4 linked regions of the Diceros bicornis minor genome follow. The protein of the gene in region 2 purifies or fractionates together with the protein of the main gene of each other region. This does not show direct contact. Links are inferred from orthologs where the notes say so. Each region holds a gene or a part of one and is shown on either strand. Other genes may lie near its edges. The genes, in order: EZH2, SIRT1, HIC1 and ZEB1.

Region 1 (7,423 bases), on a different chromosome or scaffold from region 2:
CAGTGTTCCTAGTTTCTTTGTGCCTTCGGGACTTTGCACTAGGTATTCTTTCTGCCTGGAAAGCTCTTCCTCAGATCTCACAGTTGGGTCCTTCCTGTTATTTAGTATCAACCTAAATATTAGCTCCTTTATGAGAACTTCTCTGATACCCAATCTAAAATAAATCACCAGATAGCACTTTTATTTTTTATCAAAGCACTTAAATGGACATAAGTTTTTCTTTGTTTATGTTATCTTTCTTTCCCCACTAAAATTTAAACTCCAGGGGAGCTTTAGTGTCTTGTTCACTGCTGTGCCTTCAGGATGTAGATATCAAGCAAATAGTAAGTGTTCAAGAAATATGTGTTGAATGAATGAATGAATAAGCAGGCATGCTTGGAAACTAGCTGGCTCAAGGCTGTCTTCCATCGTTTAGGAATGATGTATATTTCCTTTTGTTTTATGGGCTATTCACTCCAGAAAGGCTGGGCCCTAGCATTGCAGCACACTTCTGTGAAGGATGCTGAACGGCAGGATCTACATCAGTTCTAGACCTACAGATGGCCCTAAACCCTTATATTAACCATTTACTCTACATACATTCCCTTCTCCTCCCTCTAACTTTTCACCAGAATTGCCGACAAATTCAAATTGACTGATTTAAATGATATTTAATTTAGTTTCCACACCAAGATTGTGGCAGACAGGTTAACAAAGGGAAAAGTGACTCGGGGGTAATGGGCAGGAGAAAGCAAAAGAGACCTATCTGCCAGATAGCCAACTTGGGATTAAGAAGAGTTTTCCAACCTGAAGTTCAACACTTCAAATGGTCGCTAAATTGAACATGGCATGCTCCCCAGATAGATAAACACAAAACAACTTCATAGTTCCTTCGGCCTAACTGATTGACCAAGACTATCCTTTACTACTAGTGTAAGGACTAGTGGGACCACTTTCCATCTAGAAGTGAAGGTATTACCTTTGGGATATCCCCTTTAATACCCGGGGGCAGCCGCAGGATCCAGAAGTTCCTGTTTCTCAGCAGGTTCTCCAAGTTCTCCAGCCGCCTCTGCAGCAGCCCGTACTCCTGCAACAGGGTCCCCAGCACGGCCCACTTGCCCTCCAGCTGGTTCCCAAGATCGGCCACTGTCTTTTCACAGCTGGCTAGCTTCTTCTCTGCTGTCCCTGTCCGTCCTTCTAGATGCAGGAGTCGCCGGCTGTGGACTTCCACCTTTCTCTCTATAGCCTGCACGGCGGCCACCACTGTCCACAGGGAGATGGCTGCAGTCTGCAGGTGTGCCTCATTTGCTGCTGGGGGTGTGGGAAGAGGAAGGGGCTGCAGGGACGTAAGGCATTCAGAGTCCCATTCAGAAGTCTGTGTGCAGTGGAGAGATGAGACAAGACACTGAGTGTTAGAAGGAGCCCTAATCCAAACTAAAATCAGATAAGGACCGCTTAAACTGGCCGGCTGAGATTAATCTAAATATAGTTTTAGTACCACCTGCATAAGCCTCGTCTTTATAGAGCTCATTGGCATCAAAAGCCAAGAGAACTGCTTTGGTGGTTCAGGGATGGATTAGGTAAGGCAGTGAATGAGTAAAGCTGGATCAAGAACCAGCCTGACATATTCCCTGGGATGTAAGGCTCTAGAGCCAACTGTCCAGAGGCTCAAGTTGTTGCTGCATCCTCTCTCTCTGGAAAAGGCCTAAGTGCATCAGGATCTTTCCAGGTTTCACTGAGCTCAGTGCCCTCTGATAAACCCCTTATTGACTTATGCTGTGGCCCTGTCCACCACCCTGCTTACAAACCACAACCATACCATTCAGTAATACTTAAGCTGAGAATGTTGAGTCTGGAGAAAACATGACAGCTATTTTCAAACATTTGAGGCTTATAAACAGAAAGCAGAACAGGCTTGTTTAATCTTATATTGTGTTACTCCAGAGGGCAGAACTAGAACCAACACGGAATTTTCAGGCAGGCAAACCTTGGCCTATATAAATAATTTTAGAACTAGATCTTTCCAAGAAAATAACAGGCTGCCCTAACACTGAATGTACTTCAAAACAGAGTGCATTTAAAAAAAAGAAATTTCTACAAAAAACAGAAGGCTTGACAGGCATGACCTCCACAAAGCCCTTCGACTCTATGAATTTGATAACATGCTCTCTGGCCACCACCTCCCATCTCTCCAGCTCACCCACTACCTTTTTCTCATTTCACCTGCTCTCCAATCCCACTAAACCCTTGACCATTCCATTTGCTCCTGGTTTATCAGCCTGCTCCAGGCTTTCCTTTCTTCCTTGGTTGATCATTTCAGCCACCTTCAGCCCCTTCACTCATCTGTCTTTGTGCCTCACCTGCTCAACTAACCCCTAGCTTTGAATCAGTCCGATCGTTCTCATTCTCTGTTCCTGTTAGCAGGCTGGTAAGCCCTACTAAAGGAAGTCACAGAACCGGGTAAACTGGTGTCACCACAGACCAATGGTGTCTAAGCTCAGCAGGGACTCAACACTGCCTGGTGCCCCCATGCTTCTTTTCCCATTCCATCTAGTGGCCACCAGAACCCTTGTGCCCGCACTCTCCTTAAATTTTAGTACAGCACTTCTCAAACTAATGTGCATAAGAATCATCTGGAGATCTTGTTGAAATGCAGACTTTGATTCCGTAGGTCTGGGAGGAAAATTGAGATCCTGCAGTTTTAACAAGCTCCCAGGTGATTGTGATGCTGCTGGCTCAGGGAACATGCGTTGAGTAGTAAGATGCCTGTCCACTGCAGGGCCCCTCACTCTGAGGAGATGACATGGACTCCTACTTTGAGAAGAAAATTAGAGTAACTAGACCAAACTCTCTCAACTTTCTCTTCTTTTTCTTCACACTCCTTCCCACTTCAAACTCATCAGTAACTTAATCTTGCTTTCTTCTTTCCTTCCCACAGGAAAAAGGTTCATTCTATTTAAAATTGATCTCTCCACTTAAGCTCTGAATGCCAACTCTTTCCACATTTTTAGGTACATTCTTCTTCTTTTTTATGGTCAATATTTCAATCTCTCTTGATTCTTCTCCATAAGATGGACCTGCACTGTTCAATATGGTAGCCACATGTGGCTACTGAGTACTTGAAATATGGTTTTGATTGAGATGTGCTGTGAGTATAAAATACACTGGAGGGGCCAGCCGTGTGGCACAAGTGGTTAAGTGCGTGCGCTCTGCAGCGCCGGCCGGGGTTCTCCGGTTGGGGGCCCGGTGTGCATGACGCACCGCTTGTCAGGCCATGCTGTGGCGGTGTCCCATACAAAGTGGAGGAAGATGGGCACAGACGTTAGCCCAGGGCCAGGCTTCCTCAGCAAACAAGAGGAGGATTGGCAGATGTTAGCACAGGGCCGATCTTCCTCACACACGAAAAATAAAGTAAAATACACTGGAGATTTTGAAGGATTAGTATGGGGGAAAATGTAAAACTTCATTAATAATTTAATATTGATTCCACATTGAAATATTTTGTATGCATTGGGTTAAATATCATTAAAATTCATTTTATCTATTTCTTTTTACTTTTTAAACATGACTACTAGAAAATTTAAAGATCTATATGTGGCTTCCATTATATTTCCACTGGACAGGGCTAGCATAGACGCATGATCATCTCTACCATATTAAAAAAAAAAAAAGGTTGGAAAAGGAAAAACAGGTCCAAGGGCAGAGATGGTATTCCCCTCTACTCTATTCCCCACCCCACTGATGCGGCTCTCTTCTTCCTCCTCTTCCTCCTCCTCTCACTTTCCAGTCACTCCTCGGTAGCACAGCTTGACCACTAAAATGGCTCTCTTTGGGGTGACCAAAGGCTTCTCAGTTGGCAAATCCAGGGCATACTTTTCAGCCCTCTGTTACTCGCCTGGTCCCCGCTCATGCTACCCGCGTCGGGGGTGCAGGGACTGCCTCGGTCATCTCTGCAGCACCAGCAACTGGCGGGGGGCCTGGCCCACCGCGGCCTGCGGTCAGCGGCCTGCGGTCAACGTCGGCTGAATGAACAGACGCGCAGCAGGCGCGCCGCCCTCGGAACCCGGCCCGCGTTCCCGCAGCGTGCCGACCGAGGCCCTCCTGTGTGTCCGGCACTGGCATGTGCTGGGCAGTCCTTCAATACACCGAGTGTCACCGTCACCACCGCCTCCGTGGCTGAGCGAGGCTCAGGCGGACCGCGCTGCGGGAGATTCTGTGAGGACGGCTCCCAGAGCCGAGGCTGACGACCGCACAGCCCCCGCCTGCGTCTGGCGGGCTGTGGAGCGCGGACACCGAGCGGAGGCACCCCTCTTCACGCATCCTCTCTCAGGAGCGTCCCAGGCTCTCCCCGCTAGAAGCCTCTAGAAGGGCTGGGACGCCCTGGCCTCGCAGCCGGCGCGGGATCTCACGGAGGGAGGCGGCGAGCCCTCCCAGCCCCGCGGCGGCGGCGTCCCACCCGGCCACCGGGCCCTCCCCGGCCCTCCCCGCGGGACCCCGGGGCGCCCGTCTGCGCTCGGCCGCTCGGGCTGCGCCCCGCTCCGGGCCCCGCGCCTGACAGGCCGGCTTCCCGCCCTCCTCCCTCCCTCGGGTCCGACCCTCCCGGGCTCGCAGCGCTCGCGCGGGCCGCCTTACCGGAGCCGCCGCCGCCTCGGCCATGGCCCCGCGCTGTCCGGCCCGGCCGGAGTCGCCGCCGCCGCCGCCGCCGCGCGGCCCCACGCAGGCCGGCCCCCGGCCTCTCCGCAGGCGGCGCCCGCCCGGCCCTGCCTTCCCCGCCCGGGCTCGCGCGGCCGTCAGGCCCGGTACTCGGAGCGCGGGGTCGCGACGGGGGCGCGGGGCGGCCGGCCGGTGGAGCTCGGGGGCGGGCAGGCTCAGCCGCGCTCGGCCCGCAGCGGCCCCTCAGCTGGCGCTTTGTGGGCACCGAGCGCAGCCGGAACGGCTCCGGCCTAGACGAGCCGCAGCCCCGCGCAGCGCGCCCCCTGTCGGCCCCAGCGGCCACTTCCGCCCCGCGGCTGGGTCGGCTCGGCCGGGTGGCGGGGTCTGCTCCACGGAGCCGGTGCCTCTGTCTCCTCGCACGCCCCGAGAGCGCTCCCCAGATGCGAGCTTAGGGCCTCAAACCAGGGCTCGTCTGGGGAGGGGTCCTTCCTGGCGGCCACATTCGCAGACACCGCCTGAAGCAAGGCGGGAGGGCGGGAGGGCGGGAGGGCAGCCCACTCTAGAAAGGTGGAACCAGGCGGAGGGCGAAAGCCGAAGGGCAGGCAGGGCCCAAGTGAGCCTAGAGTGAGTGACCGAGAGGCAGACATCTGTGATGAAGATGTTCGTCATTTGCAGAAATTGCACATGTGGCTGCCGAGGTGAAGCGGTTCACGTCCCACGTGGCCCGTGTTAGAACCAAAACTCTCTAGTCGTCCTACGTCTCGGATGACTGAGGTTTCGGTTTGCTGGGTCTGTGCTAGTGGACAGGAGAGAACCAAGTGTTGTCTGTGGAGGTTGGCAGAGTGTATATTATAGCAAGACGGCCGCAATAACCCGGAGTTTCCAGCACAGTCCTCATTTCAAACATGTGAACATGAATCAAAGTCCTCCCAAACCTGTATTTCAACAAATGAACCAAGTCAATATCCATAACAAACTATCTATAAATCACAAAAGTATGAGAACCATCCTGTTGGGGCACCTGCTCTTGAGCATACCAGCTATTTTTAGACTGTAGCTACACCTGCAGTGTGTAATTTGAGATCTACCTGAATGTATATTTTGGTCAAATGGTGAATGTTTGATAGTTAAAAATTGCTATTCTCTGAATCAGAATGTCGCCATAACAGAATGAACTTCTGGAAAAAATCTGAATTTTCTTGGGAAGGAAATTCGTTTTTATAATTTTATTATTAAAAATGTAGTAGTTAAAATTTTACAGTTTGACCTTATAAGGTCAAGAACAGTAATTTCTCGGTCCTGTCAACTGTTGGTTGCTCCCAAGACCATTAAACAGGGACATTTGCGTTACTAAATAAGATACTTTCAACTGAGCTCCATGGAGAAGCAAGGCTAGCTCTGCCAGTATAATATGGTGATATTGCCACCAATTTATTAAACGTTCCTTTTTCTAATAGGAGCTTATTAAGGTAAAGACTTTTCTCCTTTTTAATTTTTAGCCTTGAAAACTTTTTGGATGGTTGATGGCATTTCATTGAAGCAATTTCAGTGACTGGAGTTTTGTGCACTGTTTCAAAAAGATGCATGATATTTTCAGAAGCAGATTTAAGATCGTTGCGCTTGTTTATATTTTTTATTTCTGATTTCTAATATTTTTTTCTGTTCTTGCCGCTCTACACAATCACTAGAGAAAATTTTGTCCTTAAAGTTTGGATCTAGAAATGTGAAAACGGAGCAATTTAATTGGTTTTCAAGTTAAGAAAATAATCGAAGTTTCCATCTGCATCTTAGCTTTCCTTGTATGCACACCAATTTCAGCATCCGCCCTGGAGTAGAATCAAAGGAAGATCTTTTCAGCAGGAGTCATGTAGGAAATACTTGCACTCTCAAGACACACCAATTTATTCAGCAAGTTCCGACAAACAACCTGTGTGCTCTGCAGGCAACCATTGGTTATTAGTAAGTCTTGCTACGTTGGTAATGTTCTCTGGAAAATACAAAATTAAGGCCTTCTTGATTCCATCAGCCTTTGAAGGATGTAATAGCTGCTATCCCATCTAGTTTAAATATCTTGTGTATGTACATGACAAGACAATTTCAAAATCCCTCGTGTATCATAATTTGTTATTGGCTGAAGAAGAATTGTGGAAGTGGTCTATAATCTTTCTGCTTGCAGCCAGTCATTTTCTGTTACATCTTTTTAAACTATAACCATTTTCTGAAAATAAAACTGAAGGGTGTAAACAAATTATATTATGCTTATGTTCATAGCCTTCACCATATTTGTTCCATGGTCTATGACAATTTCATGCATTTCTCTATACAGATTTTACATTCCATAAATATTTCTCAAAGTCAGATTCACTATGTGTGTGAAACCCAGGAATCCTTCATCAGGTAAGGAAAGTGGAAACATGGTTGAATAAATGATTAATTCTCTGTGTTGTTAAACCTAAAAAATTAGGGTTGATTCTTCATGTCCAAATGTCACATATACCATATACTGTGGCAGCATATGTAATAATCTCATTAACCTTTTTGCGCACAGCAAAATATAAATCAGGAAAAGTTTTTAGGAATTTTTTCTAAAAGAAATCAGTATTTAGAATTCATAGCTTGGGCAAATCTCAAAAATCCTTTCTCTTCAACTGCTGAAAATGGTTATCAGTCTATAGCAATTATTTCTACAAGCTTTAAAAAATATTAGTTTTCACAAATCCCAAACCATGAGGCATTGTCTTATTAAAAGCATAGAGTTTGTTGTTTACAGAGAACAAATATATTTTGGATG
Region 2 (7,742 bases):
GGATCGTAATGTACAAATTTTTGTGCAACTTGCTTTTGTCACTCACAGTGTATCATAAATATTCCTCAAGGATGACAGTTATAGATCTTTTTAATGGTTGCATAATATGACATAGTATGTGTACACCATAATTTGATCAATAGGTTTCCTATTGAAGACATCTGGATTGTTTCTTGACTTTTTTTCCAGGAACAGCAATGCCATAATAAATATTCTTGTATTCATATCCTTACATATTCACACTTCTATTTCTTTAAGATAAATGGGATTTGGGGTTGAAATGTATATGTGTATTTATAATTTTAATAAATATTTCCAGATTACTTTCCATTACTGTGACAGCAGTGGAGAGTATCAGTGTCCCCATATCCTGGTAAGCAGTAGATGGTAGCAATAAAATTTGTTTTGTTTTTGCCTATTTGAGGAGTGAAAAATGGTACCTCATTGTTTTACTTGCATATCCCTGACTACTAATAGATTCGAACATATTTTAAATATTTATATAGTCAAATATATATTTTTAGAATATATTTTATAAATTTATATATTTTAAATGGCTTCTGTCTTAGTTCTTTTTGATGCAAAATTATATATTATAAAATGTCTTCTAATATTTTTATTATATTTTTTTCATGTAGATCTTCAATCCACTTGGAATTTATTTTTGTATTTAGTGTGAGGTAGGAATCTGTATTTGTGTTTTTCCACATTAATAACCTGTTTTGCTAATACTGTTTTTCAGTACACAAAGAATTGATACTAACTCCCCTACTAATTGTAGTCACATGAGATTGAAATCAAAGCTATAAGGCCAATTTTTTTGTTCATATAAATAGAGCTGCCAAGTCAGCCAGAATATTATTGTTGGCTCTTGGAACATTTTCTTCCCAGTGGGACAGTCTATATGGGAAACCAAATTACTGTTGAAGGCTGCTTAGGGGGCTTAGAATTTGAAAACAAGTTAAAAATCCTAGTGACTAGTGTGAGAAGTCTATGACAGCCTTTGGTATAATAAAAAATAAATATTTGTCTTTGTCCTGTTTCTGAAACACACCTCCTAACACCCTTGGAATTTGCTGAGTGTTAGGAGTGTCTTTTGTTATTCATAATGAACTCCTTTCCTTCACTCCTGAGTTTATGCTAATGAGGTAGCTTAGGGTGGGGCTCCTAGATAGCTTCAGCTGGGGCTGGTCACCAGAAAGACCAAGTGGTTAGAGGGCAGGAACTTTCAGCCCCACTCCTGACCTCCAGAGAGAGGGATGGAGCGCACTGGAGATTGAACTCTATAAAAAGTCTTCAACAAGGAGCTTCAGAGAGCTTCTGAATTGGTTAACACATCCATGAGCTAAGAAGGTGGTGTGACCCAACTCCACAGGGACAGAAGCTCCTGTGCTCTGGACCTTTCTGGACCTTGCCCTACGTACCTCTTCATCTAGCTGTTCATTTGTATCCTTTGTAAGTGTCATGGGAACTCCCTGTTTATAGCCAGTTTGTACAGGAGGTCTGGGACTGGTGACTGGCATCTGAAGTGGGGGCAGTCCAGTGTCATAATTGAGTTGAACTGTTAAATACCCAGTTGGTATCTGGAGAATCAGAACTGGTGGTTCGTGTTGGAAAACACCTCACAGCCCAATGCACCTACGTTCATCCTGTCAAACAAGAAACAGGTCATGTCATGTTTCATTAACTTTCTCACCTGAACTGTGCTGGGGACAAACTGAATTTCCTTGCCTTGCTTCTTGCCTTTTTTTGTTTAGGATTCATGCTGCCCATCACCTTTCATTCACTAATTCTTTTCCTATATGGAAATCTTCATTTAGATTCTTTATTCTTTCATTCAATAAATAGATGTGCTAGTTACTCTACTAGAGAGCTGATAACACAGAGGTGAACCACATGAACCAAATTCCTGCTGTAGCTGGGGGAGACAGTCAGTAAAACACATAGAGAAAAATAAGTTAACAAGCAAAATAGGGGAATGTGCTCTATAACGTTCTGAATAAGGTATAGAGAGGACTCATTCTAGGGAAGGAGATACAGGCAAAACAGTATGACAAATATATGGCAGGCATATATGTATTTATTTTAAGCGCTTCTAGTGTTATTTTGTACATATATAAGCAAATACATATATATGGTCTCCCTTCCACACTCTCCCTTTTATTTTCTCACAAATAGTGCTACACACACTGTTCTACATCTTGCACTGTGCAGCATGGAGAGCATTCCATATGACAACTTAAAGAGCTTCCTCATTTATTTATTTTTATTTTTTTTTGCTTGAGGAAGATTTGCCCTGAGCTAACATCTGTGCCAATCTTCCTCTATTTTGTATGTGGGTTGCCGCCACAGCATGGCTGACAAGCAGTGTAAGTCCATGCCCGGGGTTTTGAACCTGCAAACCTGGGCCGCCAAAGTGGAATACACTGAACTTAACCACTATGCCACATGGCGGCCCCAAAGAGCTTCCTCATTTTAAAAAAAATGGTTTGGGGGCCAGCCTGTGGCCTAGTGGTTAAGTCTGACGCATTCTGCTTCAGTGGCCTGGGTTCAGTTCCTGGGCGTGGACCTACACTACTATCGGCAGCCGTGCTGTGACAGCGACCCATGTATAAGATAGAGGAAGACTGGCACAGATGTTAGCTCAGGGTGAATCTTCCTCAAGCAAAAAAAAAAAAAAAAAAGTCTGGTACATGAATAGCTCGGTTTAGAATATACTAATGCTAAAAATATTTACAAGAAGGTCAAGGCCAGATTCATGGGAGACTTGAAAAACTGAATGTGAACTTGCAAGCCTTAAGGACTAAGAATGACTTGAATTTCAGGCAAGTTGTTCTCAACTCCTGGTAGGCCAGATATCTAGTTGAGAAGGTGTGTGTTTGTTTTGTTTTTTAATACAATTTCTGTCTCTCATTTATCCTACCTGCCACGTGTACCCCATCTCTGACCTATCAGTACACTAGCAATCATATTGATCACAATAAAGACTAGCAAATGTCTTTGATTCATGATATATATAAATGAATGAATGAATGAATAACAGGATGTCCATAAGCTTACAAAGGTCTTTCTCAAAAAAGCTAGGAATTTTGTTTCTATTTTGATGGGATACTGACTCTCAACATTTCATATATTACATCCCACCAACGTGGCTGAGAAAGAATTTATGAAATATTTTGTAGAACAAGATAGACAAAGTGGGGAGAGAACAGGTCCAAGTATATCAGCCAGGGAGGTATCTATGTAGTCAGGAATTGGAGAGAGTATAGGAAGGAAGGAAGCACAACAGGATTTGGTCACTGATTGGTTACAGAGCATCAGTCTGAAGAAACACTTCAAAGTTGATTCCAAGTCTTCTTGAAAGAAATAATCACTTTCAGAAATGAAAAGAAATGATCAGTTGTAAGGGGAGATTCTCAGTTTAATTTGAGGTACAAAGACTTTTGGATATAGATGGGACCTTAGAGATAGATTTCCAATATTCTACTTTTTTTTAAGAACGAAGAAACAACTTAAGTTGCTTGCCTAAATTCACACAAGTAATTGGTGCAGTATAGGCAAGACCCACGTTCAGCTTAAGGGATGATTTACTGTAAACTCGGAGAGGCGCTTTAAGTGGACAGAAATGCCGCACTCCAGAAGCAGATGCCCTACCAAGCACTGGCTCTAGATCTGCCATGTATTATATGAGTCCTTAGTTAAAGATAGATATGGAGTGACAGAGTCCTGCAATTTCAGGGTAAATGGAAAGTAGGGGCTTCGAATAGGGAAGTAACTAATATTTTTGAGCTACTATGTATCCCTCACTTTACATCTGGCTATCTCATTTAATTCTCATCACAACCCTAAAAAATAGGTATTACCATTTTAGAGATGAGAACACTGGGTTTAGAAAGGTTAACTAACTTGCTCAAGTTAGAAGGGAAAGATCTCAAATACTAACCCAAACCCAGAGGTGTATAGGGGCCAAGTCATGCTCATTCTGTACTCTTCTTATATTGCCCCACTTGACCCAATACACTCACTTTGTGAAGCCCAGAGAAGGGAATTCACACACATTTGGAGCCAAGCTGAGGCCAGAAAGCAGACAGGTTGATCCCCAACCCCCCAAGTCAAAGGTCTTTCCAGGGGGTACACATGTCTTTAAGGATTTGACAGCCTACATCACCCTACAACTGATGGAGAGAGGGGGAAAAAGCAATCGGCTTAGGAGAGAAGCAAAGAGAAAAAGGAGCCAAGAGGAGCTGTCAGAATGGTGTGAGGAGTGAGCTGTGTCCTTTCGCCTCTACTCACACCTGTTAACAAAACAGACCCACCATCCAGCCTCCGTCCGGGAGCTAAGCCTTGGCCAGCTTCATTCCTTCTCGCCTCTCAGGAACTAAGTTTTAACCCTTAGCTTAAATCTTGAAAAGACTAAAGCAAGCAAGGTGTGCACTTAAGGCAGAAGTGGAAACTCGCACTGTGAATCAAAGCTTGAGCCAGCCTGGCGGCAGCGATTTAACGACAGTTCGAAAGAGAAGTTGAGAAAGGGGTGAGTTTGGCAGCACCGAGCGCCTGCCGCCAAGGGGTGGGGCGGCACCGCCCAAGGTGCGTTTCCTCCGGGCCCACGCCGCCTTCGCCAGCCACGTGACCCGCCGTGTTGTGGTCCAGCCCGCGTGGGTGGCGGGAGCGGCGGGGGCGGGGAGGGCCGGGTCACGTGACGGGGTTTAAATCTCCCGCAGCCGGAGCCGCGGGGGCGCCAGTGCCGCGAGTCGAGCGGGAGCAGAGGAGGCGACGGAGGTGGGCCAGAGAGGCAGTTTGGAAGATGGCGGACGAGGCGGCGCTCGCCCTTCAGTCCGGCGGCTCCCCCTCGGCTGTGGCGGCCGAGAGGGAGGCCGCGTCGCCACCCGCCGGGGAGCCGCTCCGCAAGAGGCCGCGGAGAGACGGCCCCGGCCTCGGGCGGAGCCCGGGCGAGCCTGGTGGGGCGGCCCCCGAGCGTGAGGTGCCGGCGGCGGCCGGGAGCTGCCCGGCAGCGGCGGTGGCGGGCGGGGAGCGGGAGGCCCAGGCGGCGGCGGCGGCCAGAGGAGACAATGGGCCGGGCCTACAGGGCCTATCCCGGGAGCCGCCAGCGGCCGACGACTTCGACGACGACGACGACGACAACGAAGGCGACGACGAAGGCGACGACGAAGGCGAGGAGGAGGAAGAGGCGACGGCGGCGGCGGCGGCGATTGGGTACCGAGGTGCGCAGGGCGCGGGCGGCCGGGACTGCGCATCCCCTCCTCCCTCTCCCGGGGCCCCTCCTGGGGTGGGGTCGGTGGGGGGGGGGTTCCCTGGTGCGGGCTGGGGGCTCAGGGCTGGCTCTGTGGCGTGCCCCTCCCAACCACGGCCCTCCTGAGCTGCGCGCCTCCGGTGCTGCTGGCCCGGCTGCTGCTGGCTTGGCTGCGCGAGCGGCCCGCGGACTCGCTCCCTCCCTCTCCTCCCGCCTTCCCTCTGTCCGCCGCCCGCCCGGGCTTCGCGCTTTGCGCAGCCGCCGGACCGGGAAGCTCTTGCAGTTGGTTTTAAAATGTTTCTCTCTCCTCCTACTCTTATAACATATTGCTTTTGTTAGACATCTTTTGCTTCCCACCCCCCGCCCCCCCCCAGCACAATTAAATCTGCAACTTTTGCATCGACCTTTTGCAGTCGTCTTTGCAAACTGACACCTGTGCAATTGGTGACTTTTGACAATTGGTGACTGTGCAGTTGGTCTTTATTTTTGAGCTAGCTTAAATTTTAAACAGCAAAGCTATTTCTAAAGTCATAACCTGCAAAATTTGAAGAGTATAAAGACGTTACGTAAAGACATTACCCTTCTGTGGTGCAATTAATAGTGGGCATAGGAGTGATAGTACTTGTAGAGCACTTTATATGCATAGTATTTCTCCTCTAATCATGTTCTTATAATGGTTTTTAGATTAAGTATAATCTTTTTGTGTGTGTATATGTAACCTTGAAACACGAATTGACATTTTTTCTGGCATACGCAAGCGGTTGTTAGTTGTATATGTCATGTCATCTTTGAAGGTTTCTTATTTTCCATCTGAGGAGTTTCTGCCCTGTGTTTATCAGTATTTGTATCAAATCCAATCAGTGGACCATTTGACCATCTGTAAAGGTAACAACGTGTGCATTAGGAACTGGATTAGTAAAACGACTCCTGATTTCAAGAAACACACTTTAATAGGGGAAACGAATAATGCAAAGATATCATTGTATACTTAGTATTATGTAAGAGAAGTGCAAATTGCTGTACTTCATTTGAACGACTTTTTTGGTGAATTTTTGTGTGACAAGTTTCATGAACTCCATTCTTTGTGATCGATAAAGTCAATCTAACTAGGTTACTACTTTTTGTGTTTTGATTAGGTAGACCCAATTTATTTAAATTTTGACGAACTGAAACTTTTAGATTCTGGGAAGAAGCGCTAAAAATGAGGATATACTGCTCCTGTGAACGGTGAAAGCTAACCCAGTAGGCATTCTTTACACGGGCTGTATAAATGTTACGTGCTTTATTCAGGAGTGGGCGTGGTGGCTTAGTGGTTAAGTTCGCGCACTCCAGTTGTGCGGCCTGGGGTTCGCAGGTTTAGATCCCGGGCGCGGACCTATGCACGGCTCATCAAGTGGTGCTGTGGCGGCATGACATACACAAAATAGAAGCAAGATGCCTACCAATGTTAGCTCAGGGCCAATCTTCCTCACCAACAAAAACCAGAAAGAAAATCTTTGCATTGTAGATCTTCGTACATTTTAGATGTAGATTGTTTAAGCAACCTTGAGTTACTTTTGGTTTCTTTTGCAGATGATCTTCTGTTTGGTGATGAAATAATCACCAACGGTTTTCATTCTTGTGAAAGCGATGAGGATGATAGAGCCTCACATGCAAGCTCTAGTGACTGGACTCCAAGGCCGCGGATAGGTATGGTTTCACAGCTTTAGAGAATAAATGTTTTTTTCTTTGTATTTTTGTTTTATGCCAACTGAAAGTGTAATTCTCTGCCCCCTTATAACCTAGTGATGAGGTTCTTAAGTGCTTGCTGAGATTTAATGTCAGCTTATGTTTCTAGGGAAAGTCTAGTGCTTTGTTCTGTTTTTGTTTGTAGCAGCTCAGGCCCACGGAAGCTGGCATCTGGTATTTCTCAACCAGGTCTCTCTCACACCTCGAGCCCTTTTCACTCATACCTTCTGTGTGGAATGCTCTTCCTCCCATTAAGAGTATCTTGCTCCCTCACTTCATATCTCTTCTTTAATTTTTCTTAACACTTTTTTTTTTAAATTTTATTTATTTATTTTTCCCCCAAAGCCCCAGGGGATAGTTGTATGTTATAGCTGCACATCCTTCTAGTTGCTGTATGTGGGACCCGGCCTCAGCATGGCCAGAGAAACGGTGTGTCCGTGTGCGCCCAGGATCTGAACCCCGGCCGCCAGTAGCGGAGCCCGCGCACTTAACCGCTAAGCCCCAGGGCCGGCCCAACACTTAACTTTTTTTATTGTCTTGTTTCCTGTACTAGAGTATAAGCCCCATGGGGGCAGGATTTTTGACTGATTGGTACACTGTTTTGTCAGTGCCTAGAAAAGTGCCTGACACATAGTTTGTGCTCAGTAAATATTTATTAAGTATGTAGATGAAATGGGAAAGTATTTTGAAGTAGAAAACACTATCAGATTTTTATACCAAAGTTATAACATGATCATCTCAAAAGTAATCTTTTTCTTAATGA
Region 3 (6,864 bases), on a different chromosome or scaffold from region 2:
GCGAGGCTGAGTCACCGTGCTGCGGGGAGGAGGAGGAGGGGGCGCCAGCACCTTCGCCCCACTTTCTTGGGAGAATGGCGCAGGAGCGCCAGGAAAAGCCGCGGGGACTCTGGGGTCCGTCCTCTGTTCGATGCTCCTCCGAAGTGGCTGCGTCTCCATCCAGGAGCGGGCAGGTGCTGCACGGAGTTCCGTGTACGCCTCCGGCCCGGCTCCACCAGCTGCGAGGGGACCCTCGGCCCCCACCCTGTCCCCAACCCCAGCCCCGTAGAGGCCCTCCAACCTGCTGCTTGCTGGTCTCCTCCTTGCCCTCCTGTCCGTGTCCGTGCATCGGTCCATCTGTCTCCCGTCGGTCGGTCATTCCCGCTTACCTGTCGAGCCGCGTCGCGCCCGCGCCCGCGCCCGCGCCCGCTCGCCTCCCGCAGCCCGGCTGGCGCGGCGGCTTTTATAGGAGCGCGTAGTACTCGTGCGGCGGCTCATTCATGCGGCCGCGGCTCCTACACACTGACGCGCTGCCGACGTCAGCAGGGAATTTAGGAAACGGGAAGAGGGGCTATTTATAGTGGTGAGGCGAGGAGGGAGAGTGGTGGGGACCGAGGCGACAGGGGGCTGAGAGGGGGAAGAGGGCGCACGGAAGCAGGAACGGGGAGGGGGAGCCCGCGCCCCCTGTGCCGGTCTACCAGGGGTTAATTTTCCGGAACTGCGGGCTGGGGGCCGGGGGAAGGATAGTGCTGGGATGCGGGGAGGGCGGACGGGTCCGTTACATGTTTATTCACTCTGGGACACCTAGGGGCGCAACCCCATCCCGCCCGCCTTTCAGAGGTCCTCACCAGGTAGCCCCCATTCCCATTCCTCACTTCCTGGACCCGACCGCTCTGTGAAGTCACAAGATGCCCCGCAGCGGCGTTGTACAGCAGGGCCACTGCGGGGGGCAGGAGAGGAAGCTGGACCCGCGGAGGGGCCTACGGCAGCATCTAGAGATGTGGCGTCGGGGAGATGGGGAAGAAGAGTGGGGGAGCCCAAGGGTCCCGGAAGGCTTTGTAGGAGGAGGCTGGGCCTGGGAGGGAAGGCCCAATGGGGGTCCAGGTACCAGTCAGAAGTTGGAGACCCAAAGGAAGGCAGAAAAGTTGAGGAGGTGGCTTGGACTCCCCAGAAATGAACAAGGGGGTCCTCTATGGGACAGTTGGGAAAAAGGTGGCAGGAGAAGGGGGCGAGAGGAAGAGGCAGCCTCATCAAGTGGAGGGGAGGAGGACAGGTTGGCAGTGCCATTTTCAGAGCCTAGCACGAAGCAGACCGCGTTTAGGACCCATTTGTGGAATAATGGGAACTGGCAGAGCTCAGATAAGGATGATAACGAGTGAAGGAGACCAAAGGCTCAGCAGCTTGGCAGAGTGGGGTCTCCAGGGGGCGGCGGGGCAGAGACCACTTCCTGGAGGAGTTACAGTTCTTGGAGATCACAACTGGCAGGAAGGGCCCACACCATGTAGTCAGAGTTCCCCTGGACGGGAGCAGGGAAATGAACGACCCTGGCTTAGCCTAGCTCCATCAATTGAGGAAGTCTCCAAATGGGGAAGGGGGAGAGTGTGCAGATTGAGGAGCTGGACTGGGGTGAGGAGGGGTCAGCACCAGCCAGGGCAGGTGGAACTAGGGAAGGAGGGAAAGGTCAAAGTTTGAAGAAGGGAGAGGTCCATAGGAGGGCAGCTAGGCTGGAGGAAGTTCTGTGAGACCCTCCCATACAGATGTAAGGACAGCTTGAGGGTAGGGGCTGGGGCAGTGAGTTAACTTGGGGAGAGTGTTGAAGAAAAACAAAGACAGTGGGCACAGCGGACCCTAGGGTAGGTTCACAGTGGACAGACTCAACCGCACAAAAGAGACGTGGGGCTGAGGGGCTCCTTGTGGGGCTAGGATCTGGCCCCATCAAGAGGATGAAAGACTACAGCAGAAATGGGGTCAGAGAGGTCATGCACACTTTGGGATCTGGCCTTCTAGAGTTCCCATTTTTTTTTGTATCCAGTCTTTGTCCCAGTGGTTCTCATCTCCAAGGAATGCCTTCCTGCCTGGGGGAAGAACTCCTATTCATCCATCAAAGCCCGGCTCTAAGAGCGCTTCTTCTGAGGAGCCTTCTAGTCTCCCCCCAGCACTCCATACATTTTTCCACCTCAACGCACCACATGTCCCTCCGCCAAGATGTGGGGGTCCGTCTCTCCTAGAGGCCGGCAGCCCCGGAGCCCACAATTTTCATTCTTGGAACCTCACTACTTCTCTAGTGAGGAGACCGTGGGGAGACAGAGGAGAGGACTGGGATAAGACGGATCCAGAACACGTAGTAGAAACAGGGTGAGGGCAGACTCAAGACACGAGGGGAGTCAGAAGGTCCCGCGGGGACCAGGAACCGCCGCCTGGCCCCAAGGCCATGAAGTCGCCTGCGGAGGAAAGTGAGCCTCTGGGGGGCGCCTGAGACCTTGGTGTCTGTCAGCGACCGCGAGTGGCTGCGCTGGCAGCCCCTCAATGAATGACTCAGCCACTACCTCTGGCGGGGGCGTGGGGGCGGAGGACCGCAGCCGGGCGGCGAGCGCGGCCCCCACCTGCCCCGCGGCCCTGCTAGTTGCTAAGCTCTTCAAGGCCTTGGAGAGACGCGATCTGGGCGAACCTCATCGGTTACTATGGTAACTGAGCCCCAGCCTCTCGCGCGCGGCGGCTGAGGGAGGAGCAGCCAATCAGAAGCCGCAGGCGTTCTCGGGGACCCACTCCCACCCCCAACGTGTGGGCGGGGGTCAGGAGGTGCGAGGAGGAGGCGGAGCGTGGGCTGCGGCGACCCCGCGCTCTCTACAGGCCCGTTGCAGCGGCGGGGCCGGGCGCTGACACTTCCGGAGTAGCCTTGCGAGTGTCCGATCGCCAGTGCGGGGTCCCCTCCCTCCGAGAAGGGGCGTCACTTGCAAGAACCCGGCCTTTACGTGGGGGTGCGGGACCTTGCGGGGGATCCCGGGCTGCAGGCCCTCCTGTCACGGGTCTCTCGCGTCGGTGGGTTGCAGACGAGGTGGCCCAGGCATGTCCCTCGGAACGGCTCACACGGGGAATCTGGGGGCTGGGGTCGCTTCTGCGGGACCCCCAAGAGGCGCTGTCCAGCCATTCCCTGTCGAATATCCTGGGGTCCTTCCAGAGACCTGCAAGTTCAGGGCGGGCTGTTTGGGTACCACGTCTGCCCAGGTCCACGGAGAGTCCTACGTGGCAGCCCCCGGAATGTCCCAGAAAGCCAGGGCTTGGACTCCGGAAGGGGGCAGGTGTGTTCTGTGCAAACAGGCGTGCCCGCAGGTGTCAATGCCTGGAGACGGTCTGGGTGCAAACGGGTTTATTCTGTGCATACCTAACCCATGTGGCTGAGTGAGGGTGGATGTGTTGGGGTGGTGGGTACAAATGGACAGTTCCATCTAGGAATGTCTAGGGAGAGTCACCTAAGATCTTGTCTACCTTCTTCTCCCTTAGGATTTCCGTAACCTCCTTCCCACCATCTACTGTCACCAGAGTCCCCTCCTTGCGGGCAGGACTTCTCTGAATAGAAATATGTAAATGGGAGCGTTCAGCTCAAAACCCCAGGGTTTGTGGGACTCGCAGGTCCGGGGCCTGGGTCCCCAAGTGGGCACATCTGGGGGAGTGAACCTGCGAATAGGCCCCCCTCCCAGGTCCAGCTCCGCAACTACGAGCCTCCAATTCAGGTACGCGGGAGGGAGGTCGCGGCTGTGCCGCGCAAAGCCCTTCGCGGCCGCGAGGTGGCGCCATAGCTGCAGCAGCGCCCCCCGGACCGGGCAGCTCCAGATAAGAGTGTGCGGAAAGCGCGGCGGGGCTGAGACGCGACCAGGACGCGGGGAGGACGGACCAGCAAGACAGACCGACCGGGGGCCCGGCGGGCGGAGGGCAGCGCAGCGCAGCCACGTCCCCCCTGGATCCGCTGGCAGCCGGGCCCGGGGCTTCCGACATGCCCCCCAGGTGGGTCCTGGGGCTGGGGACCAGGAGGGACAGAGGACCCGGAGAGCCCGGTCCTCGCGCCCTGGCCGCCTCGGGCGCATCCTCCGGCGCGGGCGCCCCAGCGCGGCTGGCTTTCAGGGCTCGGGGTGTCGCCCCTAGAGGACTCAGGACCTCTGGGCCGCTGCTCTGCGCCGGGTTCACGGCGGGGTCAGCGGCCCGGGGCCGGCTCTGCCCGCACATGGGCTGAAGAGGCTAGGGGAAGGGAAGGGGAGCTGGCGGGCGGGGCTGGCAGGGGCGCTGCCCTGGCACAGCTCGGCGCCTGGCAGCGGGGCGGGTGGGGCCCTGGCTAGGACTGCCACCGCCTCGGGGAGGGAAGCCCGGTCGGGCTGCGGCCGCAGGTAACGGGCCGCGAGGCCCTGCGGGCCAGGCGGGGAACAGAGTCGGGCGGGCGAGCGGGCGGGCCGGGGAGCTCAGGGATCGGCTCAGGCCCTGCGACCGCCTGGCTGCCGAAATTGGGAGCCGAGAGGAAAAGCTGGGAGCCAAGGGACCGGGGCTGGCGCGCTCCTCCTGGCCTGTCTGAAGTTGGGAAACTTTTCCCCAAGTTTGGGACGGCGGAGTTCCCGTGGAGAAGGGGCCGAGGAGAGCTGGGGAGGGAGGCGCCGGGCCCGCGAATGCAGAGCAGAGGCCGAGGCCCGGGGCCGGGACGCGGGTGGGGCGCAGGCCGGGGTCAGGGCCGCAGCCGGCTGCGCGCCGTGCCCGCCCGGGGCGCTGCCCCCTCCCTCCCCTGGGAACTGCGTGGCTCCCCCCTCCCCCCCACCTGCTTCCTGCCTCAGCCTCCTGCCCCGATATAACGCCCTCCCCGCGCCGGGGCCCGGCCTTCGAGCTCTGCCCAGCAAGGCAGCCGCTGCCTCCTCTCCCCGCGCCGCGGCTGCCGCCCGGGCCCCAAATGAGGGCCTGACAGCCCCGGCCAGGGCGGCGCCACGGCGGGCACCGCGCTCCCCTCCTCCGGATCACTTCCCCCAGCTGGGGCAACTTCTCCCGAGGCGGGAGGTGCTTTTTACTCGACTCCCTTACATCCCACTTAGGCAAACTTCTCGGCCCTGAATGACTTTTCCTGAAGCGGACATTTTCCTCAAATCGGGTAACTGTCTCCTAAAGGGTCACTTCGCCCGAACAGTTTTTTCCTCGGAAGCCCCCACAAGCCAGCCTGTCTGCCGGGCGGCATCCGGGCCCAAAGGTGCAGGCCCACCCGGCCTTCTCTCCACTAGCCACTCTCCTGCTCCTTCTTCTGGGCCAGCCGGCCCGCCCAGGCTCCCACACTCGGAGGCTGCCGATCCTCCGCCAGTGCCCAGGCCGCGGTGCTGATGCCCCGGCCTAGCCGAGGGGAAGGGGAAGTGGAGGGGAGAAGCACCGGGCTGGGTCCAGGCAGCAAGGGCTCCCTGCGGCTCTGACCCAGCTGGTGTGTGTCCCCGCAGGAGATTGTGCTGGGCAGACGATGCTGGACACGATGGAGGCGCCCGGCCACTCGAGGCAGCTGCTGCTGCAGCTCAACAACCAGCGCACCAAGGGCTTCTTGTGCGACGTGATCATCGTGGTGCAGAACGCCCTCTTCCGCGCGCACAAGAACGTGCTGGCGGCCAGCAGCGCCTACCTCAAGTCCCTGGTGGTGCACGACAACCTGCTCAACCTGGACCATGACATGGTGAGCCCGGCCGTGTTCCGCCTGGTGCTGGACTTCATCTACACCGGACGCCTGGCTGATGGCGCGGAGGCGGCGGCGGCGGCCGTGGCCCCGGGGGCCGAGCCGAGCCTGGGCGCCGTGCTGGCCGCTGCCAGCTACCTGCAGATCCCCGACCTCGTGGCGCTGTGCAAGAAGCGCCTCAAGCGCCACGGCAAGTACTGCCACCTGCGGGGCGGCAGCGGCGGTGGTGGCGGCTATGCACCCTACGGGCGGCCGGGCCGGGGCCTAAGGGCCGCCACACCCGTCATCCAGGCCTGCTACTCGTCCCCAGCCGGGCCTCCGCCGCCGCCCGCCGCCGAGCCGCCGTCGGGCCCCGAAGCCGCCGTGAACACGCACTGCGCCGAGCTGTACGCCTCAGGCCCCGGCCCGGCCGCTGCCCTCTGCGCCCCGGAGCGCCGCTGCTCCCCGCTCTGCGGCCTGGACCTGTCCAAGAAAAGCCCGCCGGGCTCCGCGCCTTCCGAGCGGCCGCCGGGCGAACGCGAACTGCCCCCGCGCCCAGACAGCCCTCCCAGCGCCGGCCCCGCAGCCTACAAGGAGCCGCCGCTGGCCCTGCCGCCGCTGCCGCCGCTGCCCTTCCAGAAGCTGGAGGAGGCCGTCCCGCCTCCGGACCCGTTCCGTGGCGGCGGCGCCAGCCCGGGACCCGAGCCCCCCGGCCGCCCCGACGGGCCCAGCCTCCTCTACCGCTGGATGAAGCATGAGCCAGGCCTGGGCAGCTACGGTGACGAGCTGGGCCGGGAGCGCGGCTCCCCCGGCGAGCGCTGCGAGGAGCGCGGCGGGGACCCGGCCGCTTCGCCTGGGGGGCCCCCGCTAGGCCTGGGGCCGCCGCCGCGCTACCCGGGCGGCTTGGACGGGCCTGGCGCGGGCGGCGACGGCGACGACTACAAGAGCAGTAGCGAGGAGACGGGCAGCAGCGAGGATCCCAGCCCGCCCGGCGGCCACCTCGAGGGCTACCCATGCCCGCACTTGGCTTACGGCGAGCCTGAGAGCTTCGGTGACAACCTGTACGTGTGCATCCCGTGCGGCAAGGGCTTCCCCAGCTCGGAGCAGCTGAATGCGCACGTGGAGGCTCACGTGGAGGAGGAGGAGGCGCTGTATGGCAGGGCCGAGGCGGCTGAAGTAGCTGCCGGGGCTGCCGGCCTAGGGCCCCCTTTTGGAGGCGGTGG
Region 4 (7,715 bases), on a different chromosome or scaffold from region 2:
ATGATTGTAACTGAGGATCCATGGAATATAGAAGGCCAGGGCTGTAGGTCAAAGATGCCAGCCACACTGTAACAGAATCAGTCAGCTGCTCAAAGTCGTCAAGATGGCAGAGAAAAGAAATACGCGGAGGCAAGAGGGAAAACCAGCAGCAGAAACCAGATATCAGACGCCTGATATCACTGTAGATACTTAAAATTCACTCAAATCCAAAATATGTATGTTGCGCTCTCTAGTACAAATTACCTACCTATAGTTAAGTACAGAAAAAATTCTAATCATGTTCATAAGTGATATCAATATTAGAAACTATAATCTATCTTCTGTGGAGCTAGCCTTTGAAAGCAATGTCTTAATTATTGTGATTTTATGGAAAAGATCAGTTTTACATTTTGGGTGCCAGCCCTGGTCGTCTAGTGGTTACGAGTCAGCATTCTCACCGCTGTGGCCCAGGTTCCTTTCCTGGCCAGGGAACCACACCATGTGTCTGTCTGCCGGCTGTACTACTGTGGCGGCTGTGTGTTGCTGTGATGCTGTGAGCTATGCCACCGTTATTTCAAATACCAGCAGGGTCACCCATGGTGGACAGGTTTCAGTGGAGCTTCCAGACTAAGAGACTAGGAAGAAGGACCTGGTTACCCACTTCCGAAAACACTGGCCATGAAAACCCTGTGAAGAGCAGTGGAGCCTTGTCTGATACAGCACCAGAAGGTGAGAGGATGGAGCAGAAAGACCAGGCAGGGTTCTGCTCTGTTGTCCACAGGGGTGCTAAGAGTTGGAATCCACTCCACAGCACTAACAACAAACTTTTGGATGTTCATTAATATCCTTCAAATCTCTCTCTCTACATTTATTTATACTTACATCTCGCTATATTAGACATGTTCCTAAAAGTTGCCCCCCAAATAAGAAGCTCCATGTGTTAACACTTTATTGACATATTAAAAATAGGAGTCTTATTCTCCAGCAGGGGTAAAACCATTTTGTAGTGCAATATATAATAAAACCACACGGAGGTTTGCAGAAAACATCTGTCCCTATTACCTCCCGGGAGGCTTAATTAGAAAAGCTGATGTGGGTCCTAAAGACTGTTGGTTCTACATCACCCCCTAGTCATGGTTCCTTCTTGACTCAGGGACTGTAGAATCTGGTGAAATTGCAGGCAGTGAAACGACCACTGCTCTCTTTTGTGTCATTGTGAACCACATATCCAGAGTTACTCTTGAGCCAAAGACTGAGGAGCAACTTCAGGGGATTCTAAATTTGATGGATAACATCTATCAAATTTTTTTTCCTTCAAAGCTCTAAGATTAAGATTACACGTTAATGTCATTAATTTAATTAATTAATACGTTATCCTTCCATGAAAATAATCAACTTTTTATTTTGATGAAGATTACAGAATCATATTATAAATAAGTTATACTTCTCAAATGTGTTCAGGAAGTAAGGTACATGGAAATCACATGCTCGATGTGGAACACCATGAAACACCTACATTTTAAACTTAAAATGATTTTATGTCAAATTTTATCCTAATACATAAATCTTCTATGGAAAGCAAATAGGTGCAAAGGGTTCATGAAAAATTTATAGGAAAAAACTTAATATTGAAAATATTCTATCCATTTACATTTTTCCCTGTAAATTTAGAAAAGATTATAGTAATTCATTTTTAGCAGAATACCTCCCTTTCAGCATATGCAATCCCAGTGCTCGCTAGAAGCACAGTGTTAACATTTCATTGACGTCAAAAATAGGAGTATACATTGAAAACGTGTGACGGCACCACAATTACTAAAAACCAACAATACAGGACACATGTTAAACTCTTATTAGTATCCCCACCATCTTTTATTTAAATAAGTCTAAATTTTAATAAATTTATTCCTTTTTTAAATTTACTCAAGATTTTTTCCACTTCTTTAGTTATATTTAAGAGGTGTAAGAAGCAACCATTACAATATGCATCAGGTTTACAACAACGATTTATTCTGAGATTTACTTTTGTCTGCTTTCTTTCCAGTCTAGATTTCAATAATTTTGGAAACATTACAGCAAAAAAAGTGTATTAATCAAATATTCAATTTATAACATATGTAATTATTACAGGTTTACAAAATTAAAAATTTGTATTAGATTTGGGATATGAATAATATTTCCTGTGCATATTTTAAAAATAGGAGTGAGCAGAGGTAATCGTTTGGGGAAAATGATTATGGACTATCTAAAACGAAGAGCAATTAACCTCAAAATAATGCAGGATATAAATGACAGTAAACAGCTTTTACATCCACCATTTCAACTGCTCCTTAGAACTAATGTGATGAAAGCAGATAAACAACCCTTACTTTATAGCCAAAAACATTCAGGAAAGGTCAACAATATTGATTGATTTAATAAATATTTACTTACTGAGCATCTACTATGTGACTAGGTACTCTGCTAAGTGATGAGGGCACAGAAATGAACAAGCAAAAAAAAAAAAACAAAAACCAAAAAAACACTGTATCTGTCCACACAGTTAAATAAAGTCTGGCCCAAGCTAACTAAACTAGTAACCACTAAAGTAAGGCAGAAAATGACTTCTACTTGGCTTATCCCTTCACTTTCTCTCTTGGATTTCAAGGTGAGGATGAACACTGAAGAAAGCTAGTAGGGAGGTACAGGACAGGCACTTCAGAAAGAGAAAATGGCATGTAGGATACTTCGTGTGCTACAGTTAGAAAGTATTTTTTTTTTCCTTTCTGATTGGAAATTAGGGTAGCTATAAAAAAGTTACTTGTGGGGGGGGCGGGGAGGGAGGGGGGCGCTGCTAGCAAAAGACAAAGTCTATAACCTGAATCAGAAGGCAACTGAAGAACATGATACAGCTCTTAAGAGGGTAGGAAAAAAAACGTGAACCAAGCAAAGCCTGGACAAGGTTCTGGTTCTGACATGCACAAGTTCAGTCAACATGGTATTGAGAAAAGTGAGGACTGCCTGTACTTAAAATGATCAGTAGAAATAATGATTCTAGTCTTGGCACTGAGGAGAGTAGATATACAGACATAATGTATAGCACAGAATATTTACAGTCACATTTCATGCACCAATAAATAACGCATTCACTTCTCAAATGCCAAAGCCAACGTGGGAGAGAAAATTTTCATCTATATTCAGGATTAAACTTTCTAATTTTAAATTACCAGACTTCAGCTGTAAATTTATTTCAGTTGAAAGGTTTGAGGAGATTATTAATGCATCTTCTAAAATTCTGGAGGGTGTTCAAAAGACTATTTTAACATAATAAAGAATCCTGCCATAGGTATAACAAAAATTATAGGCATAAATTTATCGAAGACCTACTATGTGAGAGCACTGTGCTGGGCGACTTACTATGTTACTTCTAATAGTCTATGTCATGTTTCAGTTTCCTCAATTTCTCTATCAATAATTCTTACATAGTTAATTCATAACTATATTATCTGAAATACAGCTCAGCTCATTTATTCCATAAAGTTGGTCCCAAAGACATTCCCTCACTTGAATGGGGGAGGGGGGAAGGAGCGGAAAGCTAAGTCCTACTGAATACTGAAGACGACTTTCTTGGTATTTGTGGTGTTATCTACGCGGTCTTTCAGAAATCCCCAAACTTGTACAAAGTCAGGGACTCGAGATAGGATCAGCAATCTAACAGTCTCAAAGGCCACACGTGCGGCCGCTGTTTCGTGCCTTAAGGTCCCATAGGGCGGTAACTGCCCATTTAGGTGGTAAATCGTGGCCTGTCGATACCTTCACTCTAAGTCTTGACGCCTACAGCCTACTCTAAGGGGACAGCGGGGAGGAGGGCGGGGCGGCGGAGGCCGAGGTGACAGCAGGTGAGGGCCCGCGCATGAGGAAGTGAGACAGGGACAGCGTGGGTATTACTCATTCCGCTTACCGCCCAGGCGGCTTGCAAGCGGAACTTGTCGTCTCTCTCTGGGTCCAGCTTAAGTTCTACCTAATTGAAATCACTCTCTAGCCCGGGTCGCTCGGGGGAAACCCGCGCGTCCGTGGAAGGGAGGGAGTCAAGTAGCGCTCTCGCGACGCGCGCGTCCTCGCCGTCAGAGGCCGGGCTTCCCAAAGCCGCCCCTCGCCGTGCCTCTGATTCCGGGACTCCCCGGGGAGCCAGGCACGACCCTCTCCCGGGCCCGGGGGCGCGCCGAGCGGACAAACGATGCGTGGGGGGGAGCCCCACCTCGGGGACGAGGGAGGGCAGGTGGCTCCGTCTCTCGGAGGCGCAGCTCTGAGGGCACAGGGTCCCCAGCAGGAGCCAGACCCATACGCGCCCCAGGCGGCCGCGGCGGGCGTGGCCAGTTCAGAGGCGGATCGCCACGCAGCCTCCCACTTTACCTTTCTCACTCCGCCGGCCTGTCGCCCTTCTGGCCACGTCCCCACAGTCTCCTAACGCCCCCTCCCCCGTCCCCCGACACCTGAGGGAAACTTTTCCCTCTCCCCCCGATTCAAACTCAGCGGCTCCTACGGTTGCCGCAAACCGTCCTCTCCCTAGCAACAAGGTTCCGGCCGTAGAGCGAGCGGCTCTAGGTGTAAGGAAGGTGATGTCGTAAAGCCGCGAGTGTCGTAAACCAGGTGCGGTGGGGAGGGGGGAGGGGTGGAGGCGGAGGGGTGGGGGGGAAGGGGGAGGGAGGGGGAGGAGGTGACTCGAGCATTTAGACACAAGCGAGAGGATCATGGCGGATGGCCCCAGGTGTAAGCGCAGAAAGCAGGCGAACCCGCGGCGCAATAACGGTGAGTGGCGGAGGGGACCGGGGAGCGGCGGAGTCAGGGGGAGCCGGGCAGCCGGGGCGCCCCGGGGGTAAGGGGGGCGAGCTGGGCTGGGGGCGGCCGGGGCAGGGACGGGCAAAGTGGAGTGGGAAAGTAGAAAGTAGTGCTCTCTGCCCCCCTCCGCTGCCGCCGCAGCCGGAGCCGCGCCGCGGCCGCTCGCTCTCCCTGAACCGTTATGTCTCTTACCTGGTCTCTCTCCGCCTAGCGGCTCCTGCCGCCCCTGCCGCCTCCCTGGACCGTTAGCCGCCGCCGCATCCCGGCGCAGGGCGGGCGGCCCGGACGCGGCCGGCCACTTTTCTGGGCTCGGGGGAGCGGCTGTTGCTTCTTCTCGCACTTTTCCCCACTCTTTCGCCCCTCGGCGCCTCCCCTCTCCCCCGCCTCCCGGCCCCTCCGCGTTCGGCTCCCTGGGCGCCGAGGCCCCCGGGAGCCGCGGAACGAACTTGTGCCCGGCGCTGACCGTGCAAAGTGGCTTCCGCGCGCCGCCGCCCCGGCCGGCACCGCCGCCCGGGCCCCGCGGCTCGGCCGAACGGGCGGGCGGGCCGGGCCGGGCTGCGAGCGCGCGGCGGGCGGGACGCGGCGGCCGTGGGCTGCGTGTCGTCCGTGCGCGCGTGTGCGCCGCGCGCGCGGCGGGCGGCCCGGGCTCGGCCGGCGGCGGTAAAGTTGGGACCGGCTGGCGAGGCGCGCTCGCGGAGTGGGCATTAGCGGCGCGGAGGCGCGGGTCCCTCAGCGCCCCTCCTCCCCGCGCCTCGGGCCATCGAGCTCCGGGCCCCCGGCCTGGGGGCGCCGAGGCGAGCCCCGCGCGGGAGGACCCGGTGGTGCGGGAGCCGGCGGGCGGGAGCGGGCACCTCCTTGCTGGGGGACGTGTGGATGGCGGCGAGCCGGGCAGCGGGTGTGTGCGCGGAGTTACCTGGGCTCAGACGGGAAAGCACCACAGACAGATCCCCCCTTCCCGGGAAGACTCCTCCGCGCCGGGATGGGGTCCTGCACCTACGCCTCTCTTTTTTCTCTTTCGGTTTTTGGGGAAGTTGTTACCTGGGCCGGACGCTCGGAGCGCTGAAGCCGGATAATGGAGCTTGGATGGCGCTCTCGGTCTCGGGTGGAAGGAGGGTGGGGGAGGGGGCGGACGGACCGACGGACGCGCGGGTCCGCTGCTCGCGCTGCAGCTGCAGTGCTTATTGATTTGTGCTGAGGTGCCGGGGACACACACACCCCTCTGCCTGGCGTGAGAGTTAAAAAAAGCAAAACACGAGAGAGAGAAACGGAGGGAGAGGGAGAGAGCGCGAGAGAGCAGGACCCGAACATGTGGTTGTTGTTGCACAGTCGCCTTTTCCAGTTTGGAGAGACGGTGTAAGTTGATTGTATTTCTGCTTATCTCGGGGGCGAGTCTGTGCTTTCTCTCCCTCTGGTTCAGCAGCGAAATGTCTGCTGATTGTTATTGTCTGGACAGTTCCTGTGGCGAGAGGGGCGAGACTTCTCCGCCCGGGGGCGGCGGGAGCGCGGGGAGAGGACCCCGCCCGCGCCGGCCGGGTACCTGTTTGTATAATAATGGGCGGCAACGGCCTGCGCTGGCTGCAGCCAGGCTATATAAGGAATTACACGTACATTTCGGACCGAGGGGCTCCTTTGCGTTCCTGCGTTATTTTAAAAACGAGTTTTTAAGAGTAGGGCAATAAATGCGCCTCTAATGGGATCGCTGTATCTTCCAGAAAATGAGGAAATACGTGTTTAAGTGAAAACTCGCGCGCGCTCCCCCCGCCCCACCCCCCGCTCTCGGGATCCATTCTCCCTCCCCTCTGGGATGCGAAACGCGAGGTTTTGTAACCTTTCCTGGCAATTTTAGATTTTGTGTGGGATTTCCTGTCGAGAAGCAGATACGAAGATTTAAAGCTGTTTCAAGATGTTTCCTTCCAATCGTAAACATATTTTTAATATATTTGAGCCGACATTAAAATCACTGCTTTCATGAGTGATTTTAGATATTCAAATAAACGTTTTCATTTTAAAGACGTCTGTTAGTTATGACTGATAACTAATATTTGGTATCCTCATTGTGGAGAGATGACTTGTTACAGCAAGGAGCGAAGCATAGGCGATTGCAATTTTAATTTCCTGTTTTAGCGTCAAATAGTGTGTCCTATATTGAGCTGTTGCCGCTGTTGCTGATGTGGCTTTATGAAAGGTAAGTTGGTTCGGAAAGGGCTGTTCGCTCTACCTTATTTAAAATGTTCATCGCCAGAGAAAGGGGCTTTTCTTGTTGCTGACGACATGTGTGTGACATGTGAGTCTGAACCACCCAGCGTCTGTGCAGCTGCTGTAAACATGTTTACCTGAACAGGAAAGAATGGATTTTTCTCCTAAAGATCCTGTGATATGAATATTATACTCATAAGGCATATCAACAGATGACTTAAGGGAAAAAAAGCTATCCTGAAAGGTACTTGAAATCAACAGGAAAAAGAGGTTCTCGATCGCTGCAGCAAATGGCAACTTGTGCAGGTAGAAAAAAGATGGTGTTTAGTTTTCTCCTGCATGTATGTCAGCCCACTCCTGTCTGCTGCTTTCATTCTCAAGGGAGGGATTATTTACCATGCTTGCTGTCAGTGTTTTTCCTTTGTGTTTAATATTAGAAAAACAGATTTGGGGCCGTTTAGCACAAAATGTCTTGTCTGCAGTATGCATTACTCTCAGAAAACAAAAGGTGTTTAAGATAGCACTGTACTACCACAGGTATCTTCCATTTTCATCACTTTTGGCTCTGTCTTAGTATTTCTTTTTGTTCTCAAATGCATTTCATCCATCGCTGTTGATTACAGCCATGCTACTTGATTAAGCCTTATAATTTGCAAATTAAAAATGAAGTTATATGCCATTGTGTTGTGAAACCTCAGGATAGATTCTGGTTAATATGTCTT

The links.
Region 1: the proteins of SIRT1 (region 2) and EZH2 purify together in Homo sapiens (affinity purification with western blotting; 3 studies listed by BioGRID and IntAct, with this or other methods). This does not show direct contact. The link is inferred for Diceros bicornis minor from reciprocal best matches to the Homo sapiens genes SIRT1 and EZH2.
Region 3: the proteins of SIRT1 (region 2) and HIC1 purify together in Homo sapiens (affinity purification with western blotting; 4 studies listed by BioGRID and IntAct, with this or other methods). This does not show direct contact. The link is inferred for Diceros bicornis minor from reciprocal best matches to the Homo sapiens genes SIRT1 and HIC1.
Region 4: the proteins of SIRT1 (region 2) and ZEB1 purify together in Homo sapiens (affinity purification with western blotting; 4 studies listed by BioGRID, with this or other methods). This does not show direct contact. The link is inferred for Diceros bicornis minor from reciprocal best matches to the Homo sapiens genes SIRT1 and ZEB1.

What each region holds. Positions count from the first base shown.
Region 1 is NC_080742.1:95,356,407-95,363,829, reverse strand, and holds the start of EZH2 (histone-lysine N-methyltransferase EZH2), read left to right. Parts: upstream 1-4,423; 5' UTR 4,424-4,431; intron 4,432-4,611; coding exon of another isoform or gene 4,612-4,635; exon of another isoform or gene 4,636-4,881; intron 4,882-7,423. Other genes in the region: ZNF398 (zinc finger protein 398), read right to left, coding at 959-1,354, 4,612-4,635. UniProt on the Homo sapiens protein: Polycomb group (PcG) protein. Catalytic subunit of the PRC2/EED-EZH2 complex, which methylates 'Lys-9' (H3K9me) and 'Lys-27' (H3K27me) of histone H3, leading to transcriptional repression of the affected target gene.
Region 2 is NC_080745.1:37,974,007-37,981,748, reverse strand, and holds the start of SIRT1 (NAD-dependent protein deacetylase sirtuin-1), read left to right. Parts: upstream 1-4,726; 5' UTR 4,727-4,804; coding exon 4,805-5,222; intron 5,223-6,823; coding exon 6,824-6,940; intron 6,941-7,742. UniProt on the Homo sapiens protein: NAD-dependent protein deacetylase that links transcriptional regulation directly to intracellular energetics and participates in the coordination of several separated cellular functions such as cell cycle, response to DNA damage, metabolism, apoptosis and autophagy.
Region 3 is NC_080757.1:15,773,384-15,780,247, reverse strand, and holds the start of HIC1 (hypermethylated in cancer 1 protein), read left to right. Parts: upstream 1-3,862; 5' UTR 3,863-3,981; intron 3,982-5,435; 5' UTR 5,436-5,455; coding exon 5,456-6,864. UniProt on the Homo sapiens protein: Transcriptional repressor. Recognizes and binds to the consensus sequence '5-[CG]NG[CG]GGGCA[CA]CC-3'. May act as a tumor suppressor. Involved in development of head, face, limbs and ventral body wall.
Region 4 is NC_080775.1:29,630,801-29,638,515, forward strand, and holds the start of ZEB1 (zinc finger E-box-binding homeobox 1), read left to right. Parts: upstream 1-4,709; coding exon 4,710-4,767; intron 4,768-4,989; exon of another isoform or gene 4,990-5,115; intron 5,116-7,715. UniProt on the Homo sapiens protein: Acts as a transcriptional repressor. Inhibits interleukin-2 (IL-2) gene expression. Enhances or represses the promoter activity of the ATP1A1 gene depending on the quantity of cDNA and on the cell type.